3 linked regions of the Oreochromis niloticus genome follow. The protein of the gene in region 3 interacts with the protein of the main gene of each other region in a pairwise test. Links are inferred from orthologs where the notes say so. Each region holds a gene or a part of one and is shown on either strand. Other genes may lie near its edges.

What was found.
Region 1: the proteins of RNA binding protein fox-1 homolog 2 (region 3) and hmga1a interact in a two-hybrid assay, tested with the Homo sapiens proteins (2 studies listed by BioGRID and IntAct, with this or other methods). The link is inferred for Oreochromis niloticus from reciprocal best matches to the Homo sapiens genes RBFOX2 and HMGA1.
Region 2: the proteins of RNA binding protein fox-1 homolog 2 (region 3) and rbm42 interact in a two-hybrid assay, tested with the Homo sapiens proteins (2 studies listed by BioGRID and IntAct). The link is inferred for Oreochromis niloticus from reciprocal best matches to the Homo sapiens genes RBFOX2 and RBM42.

What each region holds. Positions count from the first base shown.
Region 1 is NC_031984.2:12,118,428-12,123,408, forward strand, and holds the start of hmga1a (high mobility group AT-hook 1a), read left to right. Parts: upstream 1-1,922; 5' UTR 1,923-2,075; intron 2,076-2,166; exon of another isoform or gene 2,167-2,336; intron 2,337-2,400; exon of another isoform or gene 2,401-2,795; intron 2,796-3,100; 5' UTR 3,101-3,120; coding exon 3,121-3,219; intron 3,220-4,187; coding exon 4,188-4,268; intron 4,269-4,981. UniProt on the Homo sapiens protein: HMG-I/Y bind preferentially to the minor groove of A+T rich regions in double-stranded DNA. It is suggested that these proteins could function in nucleosome phasing and in the 3'-end processing of mRNA transcripts.
Region 2 is NC_031976.2:1,904,289-1,909,269, reverse strand, and holds the start of rbm42 (RNA-binding protein 42), read left to right. Parts: upstream 1-1,218; 5' UTR 1,219-1,473; intron 1,474-1,570; 5' UTR 1,571-1,571; coding exon 1,572-1,627; intron 1,628-1,689; exon of another isoform or gene 1,690-2,907; intron 2,908-3,084; coding exon 3,085-3,220; intron 3,221-3,306; coding exon 3,307-3,376; intron 3,377-3,805; coding exon 3,806-3,874; intron 3,875-4,217; coding exon 4,218-4,372; intron 4,373-4,481; coding exon 4,482-4,652; intron 4,653-4,747; coding exon 4,748-4,882; intron 4,883-4,981. UniProt on the Homo sapiens protein: Binds (via the RRM domain) to the 3'-untranslated region (UTR) of CDKN1A mRNA.
Region 3 is NC_031969.2:9,183,375-9,188,355, forward strand, and holds the start of RNA binding protein fox-1 homolog 2, read right to left. Parts: upstream 2,911-4,981; 5' UTR 2,065-2,910; coding exon 1,810-2,064; intron 1-1,809. UniProt on the Homo sapiens protein: RNA-binding protein that regulates alternative splicing events by binding to 5'-UGCAUGU-3' elements. Prevents binding of U2AF2 to the 3'-splice site.

The sequences.
Region 1 (4,981 bases), on a different chromosome or scaffold from region 3:
AGCAGAACATTGGACTCATTGAGAAAAGCGCTCTCCATTCATGCTCTATCCAGTGCCCTATTCACCAAACTCCCGCTCTCCTCGTCATATATGTACAGTGTATTGACATGCATGTGCTCTCCGCTGATAACAAAGCCTTTGGAGTCATTTGATATGTGTGTTTGCTGTAAGTTATTTGAGATCCGCTGTGACCTAACAAACAGAGAGGTAGAATACACACAGAAGAAGGCGAAAGGTCCCCTTACAAGCACTTTCATGTCCCACTGCAATCTCAGAAATCTGTTTTCAATTGGATAGTAGCAGACCCATCAACTCCACATGGGTAGCTCATTTACAGGAGAACCCCTTGTGTGAAAGTGGGCTACCTTTGCATACTACCTACTGGAAGCCTAGGTTGTTTTTATCCGCATTCTCACACCCATGCAATCAACATCAGACGTTTGTCCATTTCACGGGAGCAACATCAAAGGTCGACATATTTAACTATAAGAATAAAAGAGCCAGCAGTAGCAGTAGGGGTGTTTTATGGCTCTTGCATGCGCTTACTCAAGGAACTCCTCTATGGTGGCATATTGTCAGGATGGGATAACTGAGTTGTCTTGTACTCAGATTAACGTTTGCTGAAATACAGCGACAGCTACTGCCTGTTCTCAACAGGTACAACGCAACGCTGCAGTGATATCATAGGAAAAATGAGTGAATAACATAAAAGCAATATTTTGTGCTTTTTTTTTAATGTGGCTAATATTTTTTTTATCATTAAGATAAAGCCATCAGTGAAATATTAAAAATAATATCCAAATGTTGGAATTTTTTTAGAAAAAATAAAATACAAATAAATCCCAAATGCTTAATAAAATTAAAAATCGTTTTTAGTGGGGTGTTTTTGTCATGGTAAACAGCACAAAACACAACCCTATACTATATTATTAACCATTAAACATTTAAGATGAAGGAAAAATTAAGACTACTTTTTTTTAAAATTTTAAAATATGGAAATTAGCTAATAAAAAACTCAGCTCAACAAAGTAAAAACAGATAACAAGGTGAAATAGCTTGGAAAGACTAAAGAATGGACTCAGTTAAAAAGAAAATATAAAAAGATAAAGAGATCAATAAATTAAAATTTAAATATGATACAACAAAGAGCTTGTGGGTGTAGATTTTCTGTATCTATGGTAAGTGGTGTAGATGGTGGTTGGGATCAATTCATTTAAAAAAGATATTCTAACAACAAATAGGTGATTTATGTAAAATGTCGTCTCAACAGATAGAAGCATTTCTGAAACATAAGAAACTGCACCAGGATCACAGCATCACACCCATGTTTTACAGTGTTATTTGCACAGAGGTTTATGCAGGTGAACTATTTACATGTATTACACTGATATTACAAACCTTAAACACATAGAAGATCAGTGTAGTACTGTACCTAAGATCTAAAACCAGAACTGAATTATTTTATGTAATATTCTGCAATACAGAGACAATTTTGTACATTTTCTTCCACTATATTATGATGATATTCATTTTGTTGTTAAACAAACGCATTACTGTGTTATTCATTTAGTAAATATTTAACTTTTCATTTTAATGCATTACTGGAGTCGTGTTTTACCTGCGTAAAGGATGTAAATCATTCCCGAGCTCAAAGGCAGCTTATGTTTACATTGGAGAAGGTCATAGTTCATTCACCATTTTACTGTGGAGACTGTGGTATGTGTTGGTTAAGTTAATGTAGTATGGGACAATATAAATACAGTAAGTAGTCATTCTTTCCTTGGTTCCTAAAAGTATATCCCGCCACTTAAAAACATGTTTTTATATTTTGTGATTGAACCTGGAGAATTAAAGGGATCCGTAAGTGGGTGGCGGGGGGGGGTTGGCCTGCTAGTAGTACTGTTGGTGGCCCACTTATATCTCCGCCCTCCAATGTTCCAGCTCCCATGAGGGCGGCTCTTTAAATTGCCCCAAAACTCCTCCTGGCTGGCGCCTTTTTCCTTTATCTGTAGGAGACAAGACGAGCACGTGCGCTATTTATAGGACGTCGTTGGAGTAAACTTTTCATCCTGCTGGTAATTTGTATTATTTTATTATTTAAAAATAAATCATTAAAAAATGTGTATATATATATTGACCCGCTCTTATTTTAATTCATAACTGTTTTTAAAGCGGCATGAGCTGGGATTTTAAAGGGGCGGGCTGTGTGTTGTCTGACGAATAAAAGCTGTAGCCTATAGATCAGAGCGAGGCTTTTTAACCGGGTACAACCAGCTAGGCTTAAAGGAAACATTTCGTCTTAAATATAGAGCAGAGGTTGCTACCGAGCGATAAAGGTGAGTGCACAAGAAAAAGACGTCGAAAGGCAAGCTAAAGTTTGCAAGCTACAACCGCCTAAATGCATTTTTACAGAGAGGGATCTCCGGCGAGAGGACGCTGCATGCTTTAGATGTGAAGCCGTCTTTTGTTGCTCCGGCCCGGGCTCTCGTTCCCGCAAATGAGCTCTGCTTGCATTTTCTATAGCACTCAAAAAATGGGTGCCGCCATGCAGGCTAGGGCTTTACCCTGCAAATCCAGACGAGCACACACTAGCCATTGTGTGTATGTGCATGTGTGTGTCGGCGGCGGCGGCGGCGGAGGAGGAGGGGGGGGGATATCTCTTCGTCGCCCCGGCGTGCAGACATGCTGCGAGTCTCATGCGCAGGCCCGATTGTTGGCTACAACAACTACAGCAAACGGGCCTCTAAACATGGTCGTGGAGGCAGGGGAGCGCCGGGTTCAGTAGTATTTTGCAGGTTTGCTCGGCCTCCGAACGCTTACTGAGTCCCGGCTGTACCCTGCAAGCCGGTTTGATCCCAATCCAGTGTTTGTGTGGCAGCGTCGGCTATGTAATGGAGCACGGTTGTGACAGAAATAGACCTGGAAATAAGCGCGGATTAATTGAGTTAAACGCGTTACCGGTGTGTGGGTAGGCCGGTCCCCCCCCTTTTTTTTTGTTTGCTGTTGCGGTCACTGAGTTTAATAGCCCGTGTATTTTTCTGTGTGTGAACTCGACGCCTCCCCTTGCTGCAAGAGTGACCGGTGTGATTTATGTCTTTAGGTCTGAAAAGCTACGCAAACATGAGCGACAAGGGGACAGTCTCACCGAAAGAGAAGGAAGCCACAGAGAAGAGAGGGCGTGGAAGACCCCGTAAGCAGCCGCAGGTAAAAACCTCTGACGTAAGTAGTCCCATTCTGTTCTTCTATTTATTGGAGAAAGTGTGCTGTTTTATTATTATTATCATTATCATTATTATTATTATTATTATTATTATTATTATTATTATTATTATTATTATTATTATTATTATTGCATCCCAGAAATTACAGTAAGGATGTATTTAATATTATTAAAAAGATGGGAGCAGATTTTTTTTTTTTTTTTTTAAACCCTTTAACTCAGGTCTGCTGCAGCTGATGCTCAGGTAGATATTATTGCAGCTGAGCTTCTCATGCATATCCCTCAATGAAATTAAGACTCCTGAAATGGCTGCAGCATGCCCTTGTGACCATTTGCCCCTTCCTTATCACTGTAAGGGAAGAACAACAAACTTGCCACATGTCTCACTGGTTTGTAAGCAACCTGTAACCTAAAGCCTTTAAACCAGATTTAACCCCCACGACCCACCTCTGCTCTCCATGTAATGGATGACATAGCAGAGTCGAAGCGCACAGTGGCTCATATACCTGTCACTCAGCCAGCTGTGTTTTTACTATTGAATTGCTCGGTTGCTATGAGCTGCGGTTGTAAACACAGCAGAAATGCAACAGGAGGCGCGTCAGCCATGACGAAGCTTACAACCACACATGAATACGATAACTCACCTCGAGCTGAATGTACCTTGCTTTTTTGCATGTGACGGTAATCCCCTAAGTGCTTACTGTTGCATATTTCCCTTAATGACACATCTGTTATTTGTGAACTTGTATCTGCTGGACCATGGCAACCTTTTTAGCATTTAATGCACATAAGTTGCAATGTCTTTACCTGAGAGAGCTTTTTGTTTTTTGTATGTCTATAATTTGATTTGAAAACCTTGATCAATATACCTTGATCAATATAAACCAGATTTTTAAGAGCTTATGTTGATAAAATATTGTCCAGATGTTGTATACTACCCTAACTTTGTATTGATTGTGATTGCCAGGAACCAAGTGGGTCCCCTACTCCAAAGAGGCCCAGAGGACGGCCGAAGGGCAGCAAAAACAAGACAACCGGCAAGGGCAAAGTAAGTCAATGCAGTCTGCAGACGTGTTTTCACATAGTGACAGTGAGTTCAGCAGCAACGAGCGCACATCCTGATCCGGAATAGCTGCAATTCCAAGATGGGCAGTCGGCGTGGCATTTGTTGTAAATTTGTTTCTTGCAAGTGCTTTGTCTTTTTCTCCAAACCCCTGATTCCTTTTGGTTGATGAACATTTTAACGGTAGCTAACCTCATCCTTGTAAAAGGATGTCCTGCTGTTACTTGAGATATATTTGTTGGCTGTAATCTGGCTGCTTCCCCCTTGTGGTGTCAGAAATAGCTTGGCTAGGGTTTCCCATTGTAAAGACCTTGGTTTACTGCCTCACACTTTTTCTTTTTTTTTTTTGTTGGTGATGCTCACCCTCTACTTCCTGTCCTCCAGCTTCCTGCAGCTTGTCATGCAAAGTGTGGTGCAGGTGCAGAGGCCGCAAGACTGTTTCCAAGCTGACACTAAGCACCCCTCCGCCCCCACCCAGCACACAGCCCTAGTTCTTCTCTGCCTGTCGTTACCATAGCAACAACTGATTTTTCTCCCCCGCCCCAACCCTCCGGCTCTCCCTGCGCTCGGTCTTCACTGCTATGTATGGGAAAGGCAGAGGGAGAGGAAGTCGCGCATACATGTTTTGATATAGGTTTAGCAGCGAGGGCCGAGCTGCAGAGGGTTTGTGTCTCCGCTCAGTTTCACCAGCTGTCTCT
Region 2 (4,981 bases), on a different chromosome or scaffold from region 3:
TGAGGGAGTGGAACCAGCAGGTGATGGAGAACGTCATGATGCTTTCCAGGAAGGCATAGTAGAAAGTCATCATGATGGGTGTGCTGACTCCAAAGGAGTTGAGTTTCCTAGGGAGATATAGCCGTTGGTGGCACCTCCTGAGAATCTCCTCTGTGTTGGCAGAGAAGTTCAGGAGGTTGTCAAAGATGGTTCCCAGGTATTTGTACTCCTCAACTACCTCCACTGGCTTCCCATGGATGGTGGTGGTGACTGAAGCAGCCAGATCCCTCTGCCTACTGGAGAAGGTCACCACCATCTCTTTGGTTTTGCTCACGTTCAGTTCAAGTTTGGAGCTGTCACACTGCTCTACAAACTCCTGAAGAGCGGGCCCGTGGTGTTGTGAGGGGCCTGACAGCTACGACAGGAGAACTGTGTCGTCAGCATATTTCACCAGGTGACAGTTGGGCAGTGTGGATGTGCAGTCATCGGTGTAGAGGATGAAGAGCAGGGGGGAGAGCACACAGCCCTGGGGGGAGCCAGTGGAGGTGGAACGGAGACCAGAAAGAGAGTTGTTGACCCAAACTTTCTGTCCTGTTGGTCAAAAAGTCCAATATCCACAGGATTAGCTGATCATCCAGGTGAAATCGGGAGGGGTAGTCTAAGCAACTTAGTTATTTTATTATTGTGCTGTATTAAAAATCAAAAGTCTAATTTTGACTTAATTTAACTGGAACAGCTTTGAGTGTAAACTAAAAAAATGTAATTATATCTCACACAAGATTTCTGTCTGACCTTTGTTTAAAAACTACAGGGTTCATATAATGGGATATACAGTTATTTTTCCAGCACTTTATGAAGTAAAGGAAACATGAGACGATGAAAGGAGAGGACACCAGATTTCCAAATGCCAAAGGAAAACTGGAGAATGAGAAGCACAGGAAGGAACAGGAGAGAGGAGACAGTCATGTCACAATTTATATCACACAGTTTTAAACATTATTCATAACAGCCAAACGTGATTCAGACAAATGTGAGTGCTGTACAGAAGAGGAAACCATAGAGCAAGCTGTATTACACTGTGAAGCTGAGAGAAGGGTTAGAAGAATGAAAGCTGACTTAAAGTTATTTAAGACTCGTTTGTTTCGGTTTAGCAACGTGATTCACACGCCCTACCAGTTGGTGGCGCTAATGCACCGTTTCGCTGTTTGTCAATCGCTCAACATCAAGAAGACGAAGAAGAAGGCAAAGCAGAAGAACGTTAGGACGGTGGCTCAGTAGCCCGTGAATGTGTATTTGTTAGTGCATAATCCCATTCCTCTTTAGTTGGTTACTACTGTTAGTGTGGAAGTGGGTTAGTGCGGTAAGTGAGTGGGCTGAGAACAGCAGCAGAAACGGGCTCGTTGCTGGTTTAGCTCGAGCCTAATAAGCTAAACATTACTTGTTAGCTTGTAGCCCAGTCTGTCATCGTAGGCAGCGTACAAACTCCAGCTGAAGGTAAGAGTTACACTGGTCAGCCGTGTGGAGACGGAGGCACTTTTCTGAATGCAGCTGTTGTACCGCTGAGCTCATGTCTGCTGTGTTTGTGTCACAGCATGGCGCTCAAGTCCGGCGAGGAGCGTCTGAAGGAGATGGAGGCTGAGATGGCGCTGTAAGTACAACCAGTCAGCCCGGAACATCCTCACTGCACATACACGCCGCAGAGCTGTACTAGCACCTCTTAGATTACGTCGCAGGTTTTTGATGTGAACTCCGTGATTGTTTGCATGTCGACGCGAGGATGCATGAGTGTGTCCTCAGGCCTTTCAGTATTAGCAAGGTGCTTCACTCAGACAGTATTCAGGTCATGCCAACAGCAGGTTTCGCTGCACATGATCAAACTATTGCAGTCGAAACACTTCACTTTAAATATCACAATAACAAAATTAAACTAGTGTTGTAGTGCCCATTTGCCTAACAAACAAAAGATCCCAGTTTGCCTCTGGGAAGAGACACAGATGCATCCAGTGTGCAGGTAACCCCTCAGGCAGCTGTGCAGGAAAATCCCAGCTGACATCCGCATCCAGCCACATTCAAACTCAGTGAAATTTCCAGTTTTCCTCATTCTGGTGTTTGCTTTGAATCAGCAGTCATCTTGATAGTCTTTACAAAACTAAATGTATTGAGTTGCAGGCATGTCAATAGATAATTGTATTAAAAATCAGGTGAACACTTGTACCTAACAAAACGGCCAGTGAGCGTATAGAGCTGCTGCCCTTTCTCTTTACTAGTTTATCTGTGATCCACAGATTACTCACTTTGCTCTTCACTGTTACACCTGAAGGATGTTTCATGACTTTTATTCCAGTTTATTTCCACAGCTTTGTGTATCGGCCATCTGTTAGTGTGGCCATGTGCATTTGCTGCATTTACACAAATGTGTGCTGTGCTGAATGGAACTTTCTGGTGGAAAAGCTTGTTTGCACATAAAATGAAGTGAAGGGCTGAGTTTGATAGATGCAGTCAGGGAAACATTTGAACCCTAGCTGATTTTGTAAGTTTGCTCACAAACAAAGAAATGATCAGTCTATAATTTTAGTGGTAGGTTTATTTGAACAGTGAGAGACAGAACAATAACCAAAACAATGCATTTCAGAAAAGTTATAAATAAATTAGTATTTTGATGAATGAAATAAATATTTGATCCACTGTCAATCAGCAAGATTTCTGCCTCCCAGGTGTATTTTATACAGGTAACGAGCTGACATTAGGAGCCTTCTCAACTCGTTACCTGTATAAAAGAGAGCTGTTCATAGACGCAATCAATCTATCCAGATTCCAAACTCTGCACCATGGCTAAGACCAAGAAGTTTCCAAGGATGTAAGGGTGAAGATTGTGGACCTACACAAGAAATGGGCTACAAGACCATCACCAAGCTGCTGGCTGAGAAGGTGACAGGGCTGAAATCCTCCTATGCTCGCGAGGTCTCCATGCTCAGGAAAGCCCACATACAGGCCCGTTTGAAGTGTTGTGGTCAGATGAGACCAAAATTGAGTGTTTGGAGGAGGAAGAATGCTAGAACACTGTTAAAAATGAAATCCAATACAAACATCACTCTGCTTCTCTAGCTTTGAGCAGGAGGTTCTCGGTGGTCCAGTACCAGTATCAGGAAGTCCACCTGTCATGGAGGCAGTACCTGTAGCTCTGGCTGTCCCAACAGTTCCAGTGGTGCGACCCATTATAGGAACCAACACCTACAGACAGGTTTGTGTGTTATAGAAGTATTGATCTTGATGCGATTAATAAAAACAGCACCCTCTCTCGCTCACACACTCTGTGGTCTTTCTCAGGTCCAGCAGACATTAGAAGCCAGAGCTGCAACTTTTGTTGGACCTCCACCACAAGCCTTTGTGGGACCAGGTAAAGACAAATGCTCACATGACAAGAGTGTCACCATCCAGTAAAAACTCTTCCTCACCTCGACGCACGCTGACAGTTGCTGCCAGCTCGTGGTTCAGTGGTTTGGTTTGTGTTTCAACAAATTTGGATGGAAACCAAAGCTGATGAAAGCTGTAGGCTGTAGCTGGAATGGATAACGATATCAGCTGTTTCCTCAAAAAAGACCCCCCAGTTACCCGCCCACAGCAAAAACAGTGAATATACAGGCGGAGGCAGAGACGTGGGTCCATTTCTTTTAAACGCCATCCAGCTTTTTGTATATCTACATTATTGTGATTGTTTTTGGTTCATGTTGGCTAAGACTCATTTATGTGTGCACTGAGCAAAGTTTAGAGGCTTAAGCAGTATTTCAGATGCCGCCACGCTGTGCTCACTCTGTGTCTGTGTCAGTTCCTCCAGTACGTCCTCCTCCTCCCATGATGAGACCGGCTTTTGTTCCACATATTCTGCAAAGACCAGGTAATTTTTGAAAACTTGGTGTTTTTGCCTTGTGGATGTGTCTGAACATTACATGTAGCATATAGTGTATGAAATCTGCCTTATTTGGAGTTATAACAAGCAAACAGAACATGCAGACCTGATGGTCAGTGTTTCAGGACAGGGTATTAATACAGCACAGGCTTATCACTTTAACTCCACCCGAAGACGGAGTTTAAAGGAATCTGCTGAAAACTCTCTAAGACCCAAACCAATCAGTTGGGTTTGCAGAGTGTTGGGAAGCATTGAAATGGTTTCAAAAACCAGTGTAGATGAAGTTTGTCCCAGCTGAACTTGGATTGTGGGTTTGACTCTGTGTTGTCAGGTGGTCAGAGGTTACAGATGATGCGTGGTCCTCCAGTAGCACCTCCTTTGCCTCGACCTCCTCCACCTCCACCCATGATGCTCCCTCCTTCCCTGCAGGGCCCAATGCCTCAGGGACCCTCTCAGCCCATCCAACCCATGGCTGCTCCACCTCAGGTTCACAAACATGAGTCTGTGTGTGCAGAATGCTTCATGTCTTACTGAGATCATGTAAAATGGACGAGCGTCATCTCGAACCCTCCCTGTCCAAATTTGTCTCTTTCAGGTTGGTGATATGGTTTCAATGGTGTCAGGCCCACCTACACGACAAGTAGCCTCACTTCCTGTCAAACCAACACCATCAATCATCCAGGCAGCACCAACTGTGTACGTTGCTCCTCCTGCCCATGTTGGACTAAAAAGAAATGAAGTTCACGCTCAGAGACAGGCCCGAATGGTAGTTTCATTTTGATCCGTGCATGAACACACACTGGATTCTTTCAGATGTACAGAACTTGTAGTTTCTGAGGCCTTGTGATCTGGGTGTTGCAGGAAGAACTGGCAGCGCGGGTGGCCGAGCAGCAGGCTGCAGTGATGGCTGCAGGTCTGCTCAGCAAGAAGGAGAGCGAGGACAGCAGCACGGTGATTGGACCAAGTATGCCGGAGCCTGAACCCCCCCAAACTGAGGTGGATTTCTGCAAAACACTTTGCTCTTTACTTCGTAACGAGGAGAGACAGCCCGTAAATATTTAGACTGTGAAGCCGCACAGCAGGGGACGTGCTGGG
Region 3 (4,981 bases):
GGACATCCACTGGAGTCATCATCTCCATCGCGAGCAGCCATGCAGCGCCCGAGAGCTACTCGATACATCCCCTCAATGTCATTTTCCGATTTATTTATCCTTTGCATAAAGTGTCACTGGGCTGATTATCATCATTCAGGCCCTGTCCTCATGCTTATCTCTTCCACAACTGATGGTGTCATGCCTGCCATCCATCACTTCCCTCGCATACTTTATCATGCCGCCTGATGGATGCAAACTAACGGCTCAGATTTTCACTCTGCCCTCCGTCTCCTTTATCCCACCTCCACACCCCCACCCCAAAATCCCCACATCTATCCATCTATCAGTCCCCAGTCACACCTCTTTCCCTCTCCTCTAATCCACTCGCACACTATGCCCAATTAAACCACGATCCTTGCTTTCCTCTCTTTATCCTCCACGTGCAACCTTCGGTGCACTCTCTTTCTCTTGCTGTAGCCTCATCCTCCCTTTTATTCCATTTACACGACCCCACCCCGACCCCAACAATCAATACAACCGATGGGCAGCGAGAATCCACAACATGCCGCCCTGCTCATTGTCACATCATCTTTGCCAGCGGGCTATAACCTTTTGCCATCATCAACATCCATCCTCTGTGAGGCTCACTGAGCATCACAGCATCACACTTGGACCTTTCTGTCTTTGCAGTGGGTCAGCTGCACAGCCCATTGAAGCATTTTACCAGTTTCCCCGGGATTCAATTACCTGCAGACGACCTCAAGTCGTTTCCGCCTGCCCTTCGACTACCGTTAGAGCAGTTTTCCTGGTCTTTAAAAAAAAAAAAAAAAAAAAAAAAAACAGACATCAGCTGAAATTTTTCTCTTGTACTATTGCATTACGGGGGCACTTCAAAGCATGTGTGTGTAGGTGTAGGAATGATGCGTGCTGTGTGTTTGCAAGAGAGAAATAAATAGCAAGAGATCCAGGCAGAACAAGTGAGAGGTGCACCCTTCGCCTCGGCAGTTCTTTAGTTTACTGTAACGTACACAGGTTGGTCCGGGGAGGCAGGAACGGTCGCTGATGCTTTGCTGTCTCAGCATTTGAGTCATAAAAGCAAGGGAAGACCCGTGTTAAGGAGGCCCCCCAGAGACCCTTCGCTCCTTCAAGCTCAAAAAAAGGCTCTGTTCTTTGTCTTTCTCTGTGGTGACCCCTCCCCCAATCCTTGTCTGCCTCTCTCTTTTAACACCTAGCGACAATCTGGGGGGGGGGACACGGAGCCATTAAATGCCCTCCATGTGTGTGTCAGGACTCACTGACAAATTATCCGCACATTTCAAAGTAATTTCATCCACATAAGTATAAAAATACAAAATCCCTCGCAACATGTGACAAAGCATTGGTTTACCTTCTGTGAGGCAGGCATGATGAATGGCTCTGATCTTTGCCGTGGTGTCTGGGACTGTCATAGCAATGGAGCCTGGATCATATTACCTTTGTCTGGTTTGGTCAGAGCAGCACCAAGAGGAACAAACAGCAAGCCTCGATAATCACAGCAAGCAACGCGTTTACTACTGAGACACTTTTCCTGCGTTTGGCTTGTTTTAATTAAAGGATTTGCTGTTGCACCCATGCATGATTATCTAGAGGGGGAAATGCGTGGGGGGGGGGGCTGTCAAAAACATCATCATCCTTCCTAGCTGATGCTTAGAAACAAACAGAAAAAACAGCGAAGAAGGAAAAGGAGGGCGGATGATACTGAGTTCAGTGAGCAGCATTTGTAACAGATGGAAACAAAACGACACAGATGTGAGAAACATATCCTTTGTGTTTACACTGCATTCATACCTGGCCAATGTCACCAACAACACTCCCGGTCCCGTCTATCCTTGGTCTTTTGCACTCCGCCCCGGACAAGTCAGTGAGGGCAGCGGCAGTCTGAGCGTCGGGCTCCGGATCGCCTCTCTTCATCCCTCGGACCACGGCTGGACCCCCGGCCGCGTTTGCATGGGGTCCGGCTGCTGTATCAATGTCCCTTTCCCGGTCCATTATTCCCCGACTAACGGGTAGCATAATAGATGCAACGTCGGTCGACATTAACATTGGACGGGAGACAGTCACCAGTCAAAAGTCTCTTTGGCTTTTTCTTTTCTTTTGTTACCTTTGCCTTCTCCTTTGGGTTTGTCAACGGCTCGATATTCACAATGGATTTGGCTTTTCCCAGACGGATAATATTGAACGGATTTTCATCAATATACACAAGCTTACACTGTTTATTGTCTAACTTAGCCTTAGCTATGCGAGACAAACCTTTAAAACCATGGCAGAATCAAGCAAAAAGGACATTAAGTACAGTTGTCCCTCTCTTTTTCCCCCCTGAAAAAAGAAAAACGACGACAGTGTCCTATTTTAATAAAGATCACACGTCCGACTCTCGGATGCCTGACAAGCTAATTAGCTAGCTAACATCGGCTAGCCTGCTAGCATTACATTCCGCTAGCTCTCTTTATAAATGTGGCTCGGAGAGCACACTCTCGCTGCCAAGAATAGAAAATGTTGGAAATTAGCTTCGAGTAATACTACTCCTTCTGCGGGGCCAGCCAGTCACCCTCTCCTCTCGCCCCTAAACGTGTGGGGTTTTTTCTTTTGCAGTGAACTCCTCTGTGGTTCCTACCAGCTTTCCCCTTGAATTCTCTCCCTTCTTGTCCGTTCCCTCGCCTCGGTCTGCTGTGGATGAGTCTTGGCGTGCGTACCTTGGCTACCGACGAACACGATTTCCTCTGGTCTCAGTCCCAGTTGGTGTAACTCGTAGTGTGGAGGGAGCGCGAGTGCGCTGATCTGCGGTCAGATTTGCCCGTGAACACCGGGCTCGCGGACAGGGGGGAGTGAGGTAAGGCGGGCTGGTCTGAGGTCTGCCTTTCCTCGGTCTCCTTCTCCTCCTTTTTTCCCTCCTGATCCCACCACCTCACAGCTCCCTCCTCCTCTGCCCTCAGTTATTATGTGTGCCTATGACAAGAGGCACACATATTACTATTCGTCGGATTTATTATTATGTGTGCCTATGCCAAGAGGCACACATATTACTATTCGTCGGATTTATTATTCTTATTATTATTATTCTCCATCTTCCGCCTAAATTTCGGCACGTATCACGCCCCGCAGTTTTGAGACAAGCTTCATATATGTTACCTCATTTTGTGTGGCCGGATCTGGAATGGTGTGCTATGACTTTTGGTGTTTATGAATTTTATAGTTTTTTAAATATTAATATTTTAGTGAAAATTTTCCCGCGCTCCTCTGCCAAACAGTTTTGACATTAGGATTACATATCTTAGATCATTTTGTGCGGCTGGAGCTGGACTATTATGTTGTGACTTTTGGTGTTTATGACTTTTATAGTTTTTTAAATATTAATATTTTAGTACAAATTTAGGCCAATTCATCTTTTGGCGCCAAATAAACAGACTTCATTTGTGGTGTCTTGGCTCTCTCTAGTGGTATACCGGGAGTAGTACAGCCGAAAAGATTTATCCTTGTGTTGAAAACTCCATATCCCACAATTCATAGCACGCCTCTACAGAGTGAACAATGGCGGCCACCACTTCGTTTTATATGTCTTTTATTCATGTTTCTAGGTCACAAAATAAACTTTTAAGATATTTTCAGGCGAGAATGTAGGTGTGTAAACTTCAAATATCTGCTTGTTTTATCAAGACATCCCATATTTAGCGACAGTGCTCTGACGACGTCGGTCCTGCCTGACAGCTAGCCGGCTACCTAGCTAGCTGCCGCACTTGGCTGCAAATGGATAGCGAGGGGACTCTCTCTGTCGTTTCACCTCCCCGGTCTCTCGCAAATGCTCGCACAGAATCGGAGTTACAGCTGGATGTGGAAAAAATAACTGAGTTGTTTGGTGGTGCTATAATGCGGAGCTACAACAGTGGGCAGCTATCCACCGGTGTATGACAGAAAGGACATGCCGCGACCGCCGATCGACCGGTGTTTGCTAATGCGGAGGTCAATCGTGGATCAGGGAAAGCGAAGGCAGGAGCGTGAGGTGAACTGAATTTCAGGTAAGAAGTTATGACCTGCACTCTATTTGGGTCAGATATAAACCGAGTTTAGGTGTAGTTTATTTAGCAGCAGTTCTCTTATGTGTTGCTGATAGCCGGCTAGCTAGCTAGCGCCGCTAGCATAGTTAGCTAGCACCGCTAGCGACCCTTCATGAAAAAGCACCCAGGCTTGGCTTATATTGAGGCGGGTGAAACTCGTGTCAGCACCCGGTCGCTCGCCGACAGTATGTGTTTTAGCTGGACTTATTTTTCGTTTATATGGACCGATGATTTATTTATTTATTCATTTTAGTAACGGTATAAACAGTGAAAGGTGGTGGATTGGCCAGATGTAAACTTCAAATATCTGCTCGTGTTACCAAGACATCCCATATTAGCTCTGATGTTTTCGGTGCCTGCAAAGAGCTAGACAGGTAGCTAGCTAACCCGAGCTGGCTGTCTTTTTGACTCAGGGTCATAGCTGGACTTATTTTTCGTTTTTATGAGCCGATGAGGGTTTTTTTTTAGTAACGGTACAAACAGTGAAAGGCGGTGGATTGTCCAGATGCTGGTCGATGTGGAAAAAATAACTGAATTGTTTGGTAGTCGCTGACGCGGAGCTACAACCGAGGGCAGCTATCCACCGGTGTGTGTCAGAAAGAACATGCGGGGAACGAGGCGGCGAGGCGACCGCCGATCGACCGGTGGTAGATCGTGGATCAGGGAAACCGAAGGCAGGAGAAGCAGGCGGCTGCCGGTCGGAGCGTGAGGTGAACTGAATTTCAGGTAAGAAGTTATGACCTGCACTCTATTTGGGTCAGATATAAACCGAGTTTAGGTGTAGTTTATTTTCGTTGTGCTGACTTTTTACAATCAGTTATAATAACTCGTACTGCGTGGTAGCTAGCACGATGGAGTTTCTATACAGCTGTGTGCGCACTAAGTTACTGATGTTGAACTTTATGACA